Linked DNA regions of Cricetulus griseus. The protein of the gene in region 2 purifies or fractionates together with the protein of the main gene of each other region. This does not show direct contact. Links are inferred from orthologs where the notes say so. Each region holds a gene or a part of one and is shown on either strand. Other genes may lie near its edges.

What was found. Proteins that work in one complex are often made in the same cells at the same time.
Region 1: the proteins of Hnrnpu (region 2) and Rps3a fractionate together in Homo sapiens (co-fractionation; 3 studies listed by BioGRID and IntAct, with this or other methods). This does not show direct contact. The link is inferred for Cricetulus griseus from reciprocal best matches to the Homo sapiens genes HNRNPU and RPS3A.

The regions. Positions count from the first base shown.
Region 1 is NW_023276806.1:68,277,190-68,283,792, reverse strand, and holds the start of Rps3a (40S ribosomal protein S3a), read right to left. Parts: upstream 4,430-6,603; 5' UTR 4,334-4,429; coding exon 4,272-4,333; intron 3,618-4,271; coding exon 3,514-3,617; intron 3,251-3,513; coding exon 3,063-3,250; intron 2,297-3,062; exon of another isoform or gene 2,224-2,296; intron 1,146-2,223; coding exon 937-1,145; intron 823-936; exon of another isoform or gene 755-822; intron 565-754; coding exon 455-564; intron 1-454.
Region 2 is NC_048598.1:15,816,322-15,823,169, forward strand, and holds the start of Hnrnpu (heterogeneous nuclear ribonucleoprotein U), read left to right. Parts: upstream 1-2,715; 5' UTR 2,716-2,925; coding exon 2,926-3,538; intron 3,539-4,557; coding exon 4,558-4,669; intron 4,670-4,756; coding exon 4,757-4,830; intron 4,831-6,634; coding exon 6,635-6,774; intron 6,775-6,848. UniProt on the Homo sapiens protein: DNA- and RNA-binding protein involved in several cellular processes such as nuclear chromatin organization, telomere-length regulation, transcription, mRNA alternative splicing and stability, Xist-mediated transcriptional silencing and mitotic cell progression.

The DNA of each region.
Region 1 (6,603 bases), on a different chromosome or scaffold from region 2:
CCTCTGCCTCCCAAGTGCTGGGATTAAAGGCATGAGCCACAAACGTCTGGCCAGACCATTATCTTACACTTAAAAATTTACACTAATTCCAGGCCATGGTGGGGCACAGCTTTAATCCCAACACTAGGGAGGCAGACAGATGGATCTGTGACTTCCAAGCAAGCCAAGGCTACACAGTGAAACTGTCTCAAAAACAAAACAAACAAAAAATTACTAAAGAGGTAGCTCAGTGGTTAAGATCACTTGTTCTTGGCAGAAGAGCTAGAACCCAGCTTGCAACCACCTGTTAACTCCAGTCCCAGCGGAACTGAAGCCTCTTCAGAAGATCAAGATCGCCAATATGCATGGTGCCTATACATACACACGGGCAAATTACTACAAATCAGTCATTAAAAAACAATCATGTATTTGGCCCCACAAATTTTCATCCCATGAATCCTGATTTCTCACTTACATTCAAACTTGGGTTTCTTCAGCATTTTTACTTTTCTAACGAAGACATCATGAAGAGGATAAATGGACTGGCAAGCCTTTTCTATGTCTTTCCCAATGCTGTCTGGAATCCTGCAAGACCAGCAAACTTTTAAAAAGCAACCAAGCAAACAAGAAACCAACCAAGGCAAGTTTTTCACATAAGTACTTTACATGGAAAAAAAGCAGCTTAATTAAAGTCATCCTATTTAAAGATGGCCATAATATCTAACATCTAAGTCTTCCTTATTTGCATAGCATCCTCATTTGTATTCCACATGGGAACATCAGAAAAATGTTTCCTTATCAGCATACATCAACTGGGACCGAAACATTTTCTCATCATGTATTCCCATACATTATTGTATATCTTCTAAGTTAACACCTAAGTTTCACTATCCACCGCTAATAGAGCTTCAGCCAAAACCCAGCAATTTTAAAGGATGAAAAATAAAACCCACTTACAACTTATTAACCACTTCCTTCAAGTCATTTGTCTGTACTTCTCGGGTCATGATTTCCATCATCTTCTTGCGGATCTGGCGGACCTGCTGGTGCTGTGCATAGGAGGTCTTGCGTATCTGGTTGTTGCGTTTTTTAGTAAAACCAACACAGAACAGACGGAGCAAATAACCATCAGTCGTCTTGACATCCACATGGGCTTCAATCATAGTCTAGGGAGAAAATGATACTGTAAGATCCAATAGTTTGTTTTTCTGAGACAGGGTCTCACCCTAGCTTTGGCTATCCTCCCCTGCCTGTGCACACCACCTCCATCAGCTTTTGCAATAGCTTTTAGGGCCTCAATCAACATAAAAAAAGCTTGGAATGTCAAACCCATTATGTGACATAAAATATGAATGTCTAGTTCACATTTTTCTTAAAATGAAATGAGATTCTTACCATCTTCTAAACCATCACTGCCATCTCAACTGGAACCCACACCCTTTACTAGTGTACCTATCAACAGTCACCCTGGCCCCAAATGGAAATTTGAAAGTTACACTAGAAGACCACACACAGGATAAGACCACATGAATGTTTTCATCTCTTAAAAAGAAAATACAGGTTGTGTGTGGTAGCTTTAATCCCAGCACTAAGCAGGAGGCAGAAGAAGTTGGATCTCTAATAAAGAGTTTGAGTCCATCATGGTCTACATAACAAGTTCCATGCCAGTCTGAAGAAATAAAAACTCCAGTAACACAATGACACGTTATCTACAATTCCTTTGCTTAGAATACAAAGGCAAATCACAAGTTCAAGGCCAGCTTGGTCTACATAGCAAGCACCATACCTAAGAGGCTAGGGATCCTTTCTCCAAAGGAAAAAAGTTCTGCCATAAGAGCATTTTAAATCCCTTTAAATCCAAACTAAAGCCATGCCAAGGATTTAAATATATAACCCTACAGATAAATCTAAATAAAAACCATAATTGGGCCACATTTCCATCTTTTAAAGGGCCATTTTAGTGGCAAAATGATTTAATCTCTTTGCATTTTATAAATTATGTACCTTGACTTTTAAAATATACCCAGTATCTGCCATGAGTGGTGGCACACATCTTCAGTTGTAGCACTCAGGGGGGCAGAAACAGGTGGATCTTTGTGAGTTTGAGGCCAGCCTGGGCAGCCTAGTAAGACCCTGCCTCCAAAAAAAAAAAAAAAAAAAAAAAAACTTGACTTCCACTGCAAAAGTTATTTATTGCATGTATTAAACAACTTTTTACTTCCAGAATTGCATAATCTGTAAGGGAATGTCAGAAAAACATGTAACGGTAAAATCAGGATGTTTCATTTGGGACCGAAACATTTTGTCATCATTCATTCCCATATTGTAATATGCCAATACTGTTACCTGGATACATCGGAATAATATCTCCTGAAATGACATGGTTACCCTGTGCTGAAGCTCAATTACCTGCATCAGCTATTTCATCTTCACAACTCAACGAGCTGATTTTACAAATGAAGAATCGAGCTGCTAAGCTTGTTACTTTCCAAAGACAAAATATGGAGACTGAATGACTTTAGCCCCACAACAATGTCCTGTCACTGTTATACACCACTGTCAGAGACAGTCAAATTAGTTAGAGCCACCTTTTCACCATAAATATACTCTCAACTGGCAAAGCTGCCCGCCTTGCCTATCGTCCTTCTATCAGTAAAACACTTGGCAAGAGGCTACAGCTCAGTTTAAGAGTGACAGCCCATGTGGAAACCGGTGGGTTCTACCTCTAGCACCAAAGAATAAACAGCACCTTGGCCACACGTTAAAACTTTGTCATCCATGAGGGCAGGGGAGTTCAGAAGGAACTCAGAGAAGTGGGTGAAAGACCAAACTGATTGCAGTTTTATCTCTAGAAGCTAGCTAAACAATATATAAACACAGTGGGAAAATAAAATTGTTCACTCTTCAAGTGAAAACAATTTTCATGTCATGTTTTACCGATGTATATAAACCTTACGGCAATGTGTAACACCAAGAAAACAAAGGGTTGAAATAAAATCTAACTCCATTTCATGTTTTGATCCTTCCCATCCCGGCACCATGACATCTTTGCACATGCTCAAATGCAGTCTGGGGGGTCTCACCTGCCACTTTTTGACCATGGAGCACATCTTGTCCCGGGTAAGATCCATGCCATGGAAGTTAGTCAGACAGTTTTTGCCCTGAACATCCTCAGTAATTAGCTTGAATTTTCTAAATGCAACTTCGTCATTCTGCAGATCAGCAAGGCTCACTTCAAACACACGACCCTTGAGGCCATCAGATGCAATTTCTACGAAAGAACCAAAGAACCCATTAAATTGTTTCAAAAACCCACTTGGACATCAATGACTTACCAGCAATACCCAACCAAACATTTTCTTGGCTAACTCTAAAAACACCTCCTTGCTGCTACAAACACACCGCAAATGCCAAATCTGCAAGCACTGGGCAGATTTTCCCATCACAGAACAAAAAAAAATAGCAGGCCCAGGTGCCTGTTAAAATACACACGCAACAGCTTAAGGACAAAGCAAAACAAGTATTGGTACTCACTGGTTCCTTGAGTCCTCGTGACTAGTGTTTTCCCAATGTTTCTAATATTGAACATCGCAGGCGCTTTCACGTCATACCAGTCTTTCTTCGAAAATGGATCAACCCTAGATTTGAGAGAAACAGACTCAAGCTTCTTTGTAATAAATCCCAAGACTGCCACTGCCAACTCTTAAACTTTCCTCGTCCTTACTTCCGCTGACAATGTCCCCGGCAAAAAAAAAATCTTAAACCGGCTTGTCTTTAATACAAAATGACGCCCCTCACCGTGATGAGCCTAAGGCCGGCGTGCCTGTCAACAGGACAAACCGGTAAGCTGGAAACCATGCCTTTCCCGCTCCTCCACCCCACAGGCGGCATTTCAGACTATCTCGGAACCTGGAGGTCCTGTGACATTAACTATTCCGTGACAGCACGGACCGGTCAGCAAGTGTCGGGAGCTCCCAGGCAGGGTCCACGAGGCCCCAGCGCAGGAGCCAGCGACTGCCGAGCCCAGATGTAGAAGGGACATTAAAAGTGCCCAGGACCATTAAGTCACCCAGAGCCCACAGATCGCTACACGTGACGAAAGCCCGGCTCACACGCGGGCGCGACGCCCGGCCCGGCCGGGGAAGAGGCGGCCGTCTGGAGCGCACCGGCCAGCGGCGTCGCCGCGCAATCCGCCCCGCATCCTCACCATCCGCCCCACGCTGCAGCCCAGAACCAGCCCGCCAACTCCTGTGGGACCCAAAGAGCGGGGATCCGCAAAATGCGCCACTTACACTTTCTTCTTGGCGCCCTTCTTGCCGCCTTTCGTCAGGCGCTTATTCTTGCCGACCGCCATGGTGCTGCTGAGAGAGCCAAAAGGGCGGAAGTAGTACCCGCGCGAGAACTTACGCGAGCTGGGCGGGGAGCGCTGTCTACGTGACCCTTGCTCTTTCGCCCTTCCGGCTTTCTCAATCTCGCGACACGAGTCAGCGGCTCGCTCCCACCGGGCTGCGACAGCGCCCTCGTGTGTCGGGAGGCCGCGCAGCGGGCCGCGGGGCTGGCTGGGCGACTTCGCTGAGGTCAGGAGCGCGCAGGCCCGGCAGAGGCGCGCACACCAGGTTTCCTGTGGTTCCAGTTGCCCCCAGGGTGGGAAGTTTCCGTACGAGGAGAAGCCCTCTGAGCTGTCTCGTGTTCTAAACTTTGAGAGTTTGTTTCTTTCCTAGAGCCTGGGCTTTGAATCGGAGACAGCAAGTTCATGTTCAAGAGGTGGTTTGAACAGTACTTAGCCTTCCGACCTCTCTGGCCTTCTGTCCCCTCACGTGTAAAATGGGAATAATGATATGATCTACTTCAAAACGTTGGTATAATTAAATAAGCATAACTCCGGGCATGCTGCTCACGTCCCGCGCGTGCTGATTTGGATTCTGATTAGTCTCGGGTATGGGTGTTTTGTGAACATGCATGAAGATAGAGGCTCAGCTGGGGTGGTAACGCATGCCTGCAATCCCAGAGCTCTGGAGGCAGGACAACAAATTAGAGGACTGTGAGTTCCAGACCAGCCTGAACTACCTAGTAAGACAGACTGAGCTGAGGGGTGGTATAGATACTTTCCGGTATATTTCTTACTTATCAACGAGAACAAAGGTGTTTGTGATACCAACTCCTGCCCAGTGTGTATGCTTACCTACATATCTCTTACACATTTGCAATCATATTTTTATTGCTTGTGTGTGCCTATGTTATGCATGTACCCTCTCCAGCCTATGTGTGGAGGTCAGAGAACAACTCTCTTATTCCACTCTCTTATGTGTATAGGGCTGGAACTGCGGTGGTCAGGTAGAACTCAGGGTCAGGCCTCTGCGGGTGCCTTTACCAGCTGAGCCATCTCGGCCCCCGCCCCGGGTGGGGGCGTGTTTTGCTTTTTTAGTGGAATGGGAGACTGGAGCCGCTCAGTGGTAAAGACTAAGCACGTCTAAGGCCCTAGGTTCCATCCTCAGCACTTCAAAAAAGACACAGTGGAGTTCAATCCTTGTACCTAATTGCCCACCAATTTTCTTAATGTAAAACCCCCTTTCCCATTTTTTAAAATATTTATTTATATTGTGTACATTGGTATTTTGCCTGCATGTATCGAGAGTGTCAGATCCCCTGGAACTGGAGTTACAGACAGTTGTGACCTGCCATATCATATGGGTGCTGGGAATTGACGGTCCGTTGGAAGAGCAGTCAGTGCTCTTAACCACTGAGCCATCTCTCCAGCCCCCCCACTTACCATTTTTATGTTTGTTTTTTCAGACAAAAGTCTTGCTGTGTAGTTTGGGCTGACCTCAAATTCTCGCTCCTCAGGCCTCAGCGCCACCACATCCATTTTAACTACAGCAATTTAGCAAAGCACAACCTCGTCAGATTCACCCGCTACCTTGAGTGTAGCCCAAGAGAGCTGGCTGTGCAGGTTTGGTGTTCAGCCAGCAGTGTACTGAGTTCCCTTCTCTAACTTCCTCTCTGGCCAAAGCCAAAACAAACAAACAAATAAACAAACAACAACAAAGACCATGACCAAGCTGGAAATCAATGCCCTATTCACCAGGCGCCCTAGAAGTTTTTCAATCTTATTTTTCTTCAAAATACACTGACTCTGGTTTGAGAAGGGGGTTACTGTCATGTTAACCCTATATTTGGGAAATGACAAAAATGTCCCATTTCCAGTCTGTTTATAAAGATAACAATCAGCCAGATGTCTCAGACTAAATACAAGAAAGGCAAAAGCTGTCTAGTTAAGGGCACACCATAAACTTTAAAGGAAATCATGGAGCTGGGGTCATGACACACTCCTGTAAGCCCAGCATTCTTCAGAAGCCCAAAACAAGATTCTTTGAGGACAGCCTGGGCTACATAATGAGGTCTGTCTCTGAAAATCTAAGACTGGAGCTGTTGTTCAGTGACAGTGTTTATCGAGCATGAACAAGGTACTGGATTCATTCCCATAAAAGAAAAAAGGGTGGGTATCTCTGTGTTTGTGCTGTGTGTATGTGATATAATGGAAATACCCAAAGTAGTAACAAGGAATATTTATCTAGAACTGCTGTTTTATTGTTATTTCTCGATGGAGTCTCTGTATGTAGCTTA
Region 2 (6,848 bases):
AAGAAAGAAAGAAAGAGTGGATCCTTTTCCTGCACATGTAAAATTGTATTTCACATTCATTACTGACACCAACACTGTTCTAAGAATAGTTGTTATAAATAAATCTGGTCTTATTAGCCATATAAACTTTCTTAGTTTGGTGGGGTTTTGTAGCTATGTAGCCCTGGATGGCTTCAAACTTACTGAGATCTGTTGGCCTCTGCCTCCTGAGTACTGGGATTAAATGTGTCCAAGACCACATCCAGCTGCAATTTAATGTTTCACTGAGTTAGATGGAGATTGTTTACATGTCACTGACATTTAAAAATTAAGTATCTGCCTGGTGGTGATGGCCCACGCCTTTGATCCCAGTACTCAAGGAGGCAGAGGCAGACAGATTTCTTAGAGTAAATATCTGAGAGTACATAGAACCACATTAATAAAATTGTATGCTTCCTAATTAAGGAACTAATAATCTAGTTTATGAACTTGTACCCCCTATAGTTATCTTCCATTTTTGAACCAGAGTTTTATTTTATTTTATTTTATTTTTTGGTTTTTTGAGACAGGGTTTCTCTGTGGCTTTGGAGGCTGACCTGGAACTAACTCTTGTAGACCAGGCTGGTTTCAACTCACAGAGATCCACCTGACTCCGTCTCCAGAGTGTTGGGACTAAAGGTGTGTGCCACCACCACCTGGCTTGAACCAGAGTTTTAAATTCTAGCTTGTGGTTTATTTATAAGCTTAAGAGACATTAATTTTTGCCGGGCAGTGGTGGCACACGCCTTTAATCCCAGCACTCTGGAAGCAGAGGCAGGCGGAGCTCTGTGAGTTCGAGACCAGCATGGTCTACAAGAGCTAGTTCCAGGACAGGCTCCAAAGCCACAGTGAAACCCTGTCTGGAAAAAAACAAAACAAAAAGACATTAAATTTGAGGGCTGCTCCACCACCTCCACTAACTGAGAATTACCAGACTGTACTAGTTCATTGATTTCCACAGATACTAATTCCTATTGGCTCATGACTCAGGAGTAAGATAAAATGCTTTTTAAAATGATTTCATCAGGGTGTGGTGGTGAATACCTTTAATCCCAGGAGGAAAAGGCTGGAGGATCTTAGCCTGATCTATATATTGAGCTCTAGGACAGCCGGGGCTAATTAGAGACTCTGTCTCAAGAAGAAAAAAAAAAAAAAAAAAACAAAAACAAAACTAATCAACCAAAGGAATCATTTTATTAACAGGTTAAGTTATATTAGCCAAATAGGATAAACTTCATTTCTATGCTTTCAAGTTTCAGATGCACAGAAAGAAGACAGGGCCAACCATAGCTTTACTGCCAGAGTACTTGGTTTTGTAGAAACAGGGTCTCAGGTAGCCCAGATTAGCTTTAAATTCTTTATGTAGCCAAAGATGACACACACACACACACAACCTTTTTGGTTTTTTGAGACAAGGCATCTTTATTTAGCCTTGGCTGTCCTGGAAATAGCTCTGTACACCAGGATATTTGGAGCTGGGAGATCTGCCTGCCTCTGCCTCCCTGGTGCTAGGATTAAAGGTGTGTGCCACCACTGCCTGGCTGACTGAATTCTTGATCTTCTTGCCTGCATCTCCCAAGGGTTGTAATTATAGACCTGTATAAACACACCTATTAGGCACAATCTACACAGAATGGCCCGTGCAGAAAATAAATTCTATTTCTACCTAAAAGTTTCAAGAACATAACATGTTTTTAATTACAGAGAAAAATAGCAACAATTTTTTGTTTGTTTGTTTGAGATGGGGTCTGTCTGACTATACAGCCCAAGGCGGCCTGGACTTTACTATGTAGCCCTGGCTGGCTTTCAACTCTTGATACTTCTGCCTCAGTCTGCCAAGAGATAGGACTGCAAGTGTGTAGACAACTCAGTGTGTGTCTGAAAAAACGGGGAGAATCAAAGTGCATTAAAATTTAGCTGGATGTCCCTCTCATGGTTAACTAAGGGAAGTCCTTCCTGCAAGAGGCCTGTCTTTACAGTGAGTCTAGGGGAATCTTCCATGCAATTCTAGGGGTTACTCAAGGGTCACTAGTAAAGACGGTGAGAAGTGCACAAGGCCCACACTGCATGCCGTGCGGCACGGAGCGGTAGGGCAAGCCTGCGCCTCCCCAGGCCTTGCACCACCGGGTATGGAAGAGACAAAAGAAACGCTGGGGCCTCGCCCTTGCGGAACTTAAAAAGTCCGATCGGCAAGGCAGGGCTTGTAAAAAATTAAACTGCAATGAAGTGGAGGAAGAAAAAAACAAAACACAAAACAAAAAACCACCTCTGTCTAACAGCCGCTTATTTGTGCTCTGCGGAGCAGCAGCGGAAACTTGGCGGAGTCTTAAAGCGAGAGCCGGAGGGACAGACAAAAAAAAAGACAAACTAAGATGGAAGAAAGGAGGGTGTCCTCCAGCGGGAAATGCCAGATGAGGACGCAGGGCGGGTGCAGGGGAGCCTCCTCCGGGCCCACGGAGGCGGACGGCCCGTGGAGCGCGGCCGCCGAGAAGCCGGAAAGGCCGGCGGCCGCCGCGGCCAGTCGGTTTAACCGAAAGGCGGCTTCCTGAGCCTCCATTTGCGCGCCGGGGCCCAGCGCCGAGGTCGCCCCGTGGGGGCGGGGCGGGGAAGGGGCGGGGCCTGCGCGCGCAGCCGCCCTAGCGAGCCCCGCCCCGGCAGGGGGCGGGGCGCCTATATTACGTGCGCGGCGCCGCCCCGGCGAGAGGACGTTGCGTGCTCGCTCGCGCCAGGCGAGTCTCCGCGTCTTGCCTCGCGAACTCGGTGAAAGGAATTGGCGCCGTTCGACACCAGGCGGGTCCGCTCTGCAGCACTCAGCCATCTCCAGCCGCAGCCGCCGCCCGGGCCGACCAGCAGCCGCCGCCACAGGCCGAGGGAGCCAGCAGTCCGCGGTGAACCGGGGCCCTCACCATGAGTTCTTCGCCTGTTAATGTCAAGAAGCTGAAGGTGTCGGAGCTGAAGGAGGAGCTCAAGAAGCGGCGCCTCTCCGACAAGGGCCTCAAGGCCGATCTCATGGATCGACTCCAGGCCGCGCTGGACAACGAGGCCGGCGGCCGCCCCGCCATGGAGCCCGGGAACGGCAGCCTCGACCTGGGCGGCGATGCGGCCGGGCGCTCGGGGACGGGCCTCGAGCAGGAGGCCGCGACCGGCGCCGAAGACGACGAGGAGGAGGAAGGCATCGCCGCCCTGGACGGCGACCAGATGGAGCTGGGCGAGGAGAACGGGGCGGCGGGGGCGGCTGACGCGGGCGCGATGGAGGAGGAGGAGGCGGCGTCGGAAGACGAGAACGGCGACGACCAGGGCTTCCAGGAGGGGGAGGACGAGCTCGGCGACGAGGAGGAGGGCGCGGGCGACGAGAACGGCCACGGGGAGCAGCAGTCCCAACCGCCGGCGGCGGCCCCGCAGACCCCGCAGCAGCGCGGGGCCGGCAAGGAGGCCGCGGGCAAGAGCAGCGGCCCCACCTCGCTCTTCGCGGTGACGGTGGCGCCGCCCGGGGCGAGGCAGGGCCAGCCGCAGGCCGGAGGTAGGAAGGCGGAAGGCGGCGGGTGAGGGCTGCGTGGTGGGCGGGCGGGCGCGCGGCTTGTAGGCCCGCGTGGGGACCGTGCCCCAGGCCGGCCGGGGCCCCAGGGGCGAGCGACGCGGGCGGGCGGGGGGGGCGGGGGAGCCCCGGGGCCGCCGAGAGGATGGGCTCGCCATGCCGGCGGCGCCTCCTCCATTATGTGTGTCGGGCGCCGGGGGGAGCTGCAGCTGCCGCGGTGGGGGAGGAGCCGGGCGGGAGCGGCGGCCGCTGGAGCGCTGCGTGCGCGCGGTTCGGGCACATGTCTGGGGGGAGGGGGAAGGTCCCGGGGCGGGCGGGCTTTGGCGGCTCAGCGCCGCGGTATTGTGCAAGGAGCGCAGGGGCTCGGTGTGACGTCACTTCCGGCGGGAGGCGCCGGGCGCGGGGAGTGAGGCGGAAGCTCAGTACAATGCGGCGGCGGGGCACGCGGGCTCGGATGGGGGAGGGGAGGCGGGCCCACGCTGCCCTGCCCTCCCCCCCACACCCCCCGCCGCCGCCGCGCGCACGGCGCGCAGCACGTGGGCCCGGACGGCGGGCGCGCGGTTTTAGTCCTTAAATGCATTCCGGAAGGTTACCCTAGGCTGGCAGGATTAGCAGCGTCTTTAGACTGCGTCACCGTCTCCAGTGCAGTTCCAGGCTGATGGATACGATTTTTTCTAGATTCATATTAGTTTCGTGGGTTAAAAAGTCTCAGAACTCGCCTGGCGTTGGTGCCATACGCCTTTTTCCCCAGCACTCGGGAGGCAGAGGCAGGCGGATCTCTGTGAGTTCGAGACCAGCCTGGTCTACAAGAGCTAGTTCCAGGACAGCCTCCAAAGCCACACAGAAAAACCCTGTCTGGAAAAACCAAAAATAAAAAAGTCCGAGATCCAGTCTAGGAGGGAAAAAATAACAGCCCCTAAAAGTCCCGGAACAGAAACGGGAGCTTTTCTCTATAATTCAGTCTGTGGCCTGATGATTTAAGGCTGTGTTCTGTGTCGTTATAGGAGACGGTAAAACAGAACAGAAAGGAGGAGATAAAAAGAGAGGTGTTAAAAGACCGCGAGAAGATCATGGCCGAGGATATTTTGAGTACATTGAAGAAAACAAGTACAGCAGGTAGAGGATCCTAACCTAGTTTTATTTGTCACCCAGTTTTTATGCGTGGTTGGGAAAGCTTTATCAGGAGACGATTCTGTCTTTCAGAGCCAAGTCTCCTCAGCCACCTGTTGAAGAAGAAGACGAACACTTCGATGACACAGTGGTTTGTCTTGATACTTGTAAGTGAAGCAAACTTTCCCGCTCTTTTTCTCAAATATTTAAGTGCAGTGCTATTTTGGTTTAACTCTTAGGAAAAGTGTGTTTGTATATCTTAAAGTGGAGAAAACCCGTTAGATTGTTTTAAATCAGGAAGATAATAGCTCATGTTCAGGTTACAGTAGTTTTATGTTTAGCGACACTTCAGTTGTATTGCTGTTTTTACAAGCTCTACTAATTGATACTTATGTCATGGAAGTTCCCAATATTTAGGGATGTAAAACTAATACCGATTTTTGTTCAGCTTTCAGAAACTTGTTTTTAAAACCTGCCTGTAACATGTCCTTAGATAGGTAATATGAAAATTAAAATTTTTCTGTGGAGCTACTATATTAAGTGAGCTATTTGGGCTAGTTGAATACTTACTAACGATTTTCCCATTAGCGCACAAGTACATTCCCTATTCTAAGGATTGTCATATTACCTTTTCAATAACTGCTCTTTTGTTCTCAATTCCAGTTCAGTAGCTGCTGCTCTAACATAAGTTGATTTCTTCCAAAGACCTGGGGCAGCAGCAGTGGGCTATCTGAGCCACTAGCTTTCTTCAGCAGCGAATGGTATCAATGGCAGCGCTGTAAATATGCTACTTTAGAGTATGAGGAAGTATTGCAAGCCATGAAATGGGCTTTAGCTGTCAGATTTGTATTTTGATCCTTTCAAGAAGTTTGTTAGTTTAGTATTTGATAGGGATGTATAATGCTTGGTGTGAGCAGAACAAAAGGTGCTTGAATAAAGAGTTTTAAAGGGTTTCACATGTTAGAAAGGGTTAAAAACTTGTATTCCCTTGTTTACTTATACACATTGTGTTCAGAGTCCTGAGAGTTAAATGTAACTTGGCTGCTTTCTGTCAGTTAAGTCTTGAAGAAAGAGAGGAGAAAACAGCTGATTTGGATTTTTTTTTTTTTCTGAAGTGTAAAAGATTTTGGAATTCACAAGGTGCTTTAGCCGGGATTGAAGAGAATGGTTAGCAGTGCTATTTCAGAAGAATAGTTTAAGATCCAGTCGCCAGGATTACTTGTTTTAAACACAAATTTTAATTCTGTCAGCAGTCAGGAATATTATGAACAAAGCTGGAGAATTTCAAACAGCAGATGCATTTAATAAAAACCAAGAGCCTTATAATTTAATATTCTTTGTCAAGTGAATTCTGAGAAGCTGCATAATGAGGTCTAGTGACCCAAAGATAGCTAGGTTAAAGACTGGATTTGTATAATCCAGGCAGGAGTTAATTCCTAGTGGTTATACCTTACCAGGGTGGTAAAACAGACACATTAACACTTCAGACTGACAGGTTTGTGGGTTGATCTGGCTTACAAGTTTTCAGAAGTGAGTTAAGGTTCTGGAACCCTGGTTTTAGTCTACAAAGTTACAGGATCAGCAGCTCTCAAAATATTTGGTGGTGGCTTCACTTCTGTTATTGTCACTGGTAAATTCTACCTGGTTCTGGCATGCTTCACTTTGATTTCCTGCTGTCCTCTACTGCTTGCCTCTAAATCAAGGTAAAGAGCAGAGCAGGTATGTATTGATATTGCATTGTCTCAGTCATATTACATACTTAAATAACTTCAACGATTGGCAGTTGATGTTTTAGTACATAATTAAGACTGCCTTGGTGGGAGTGGGGCTCCAATGAGAGTTTAGGAACAAGCGCATGATACAAAGACAATTCTCAGCAGTAATAAATACGATTAAAAGCATCTAGATTTTCTCTACTTTGCTGAAATACATTGGGTGTCAAAAATAATTTGGCATTTGATATAATTTCAGATAACTGTGATCTGCATTTTAAAATATCGAGAGACCGCCTCAGTGCTTCTTCCCTTACTATGGAGAGTTTTGCTTTTCTCTGGGCTGGAGGAAGAGCATCTTACGGTGTATCAAAAGGCAAAGTCTGTTTTGAGATGAAGGTAAATGGAATTTTGTGGCTTCTCAGGAGCTTTGTTTTTATTGGTACCAGTCACAGGAGCCTATTAAGTTTTCT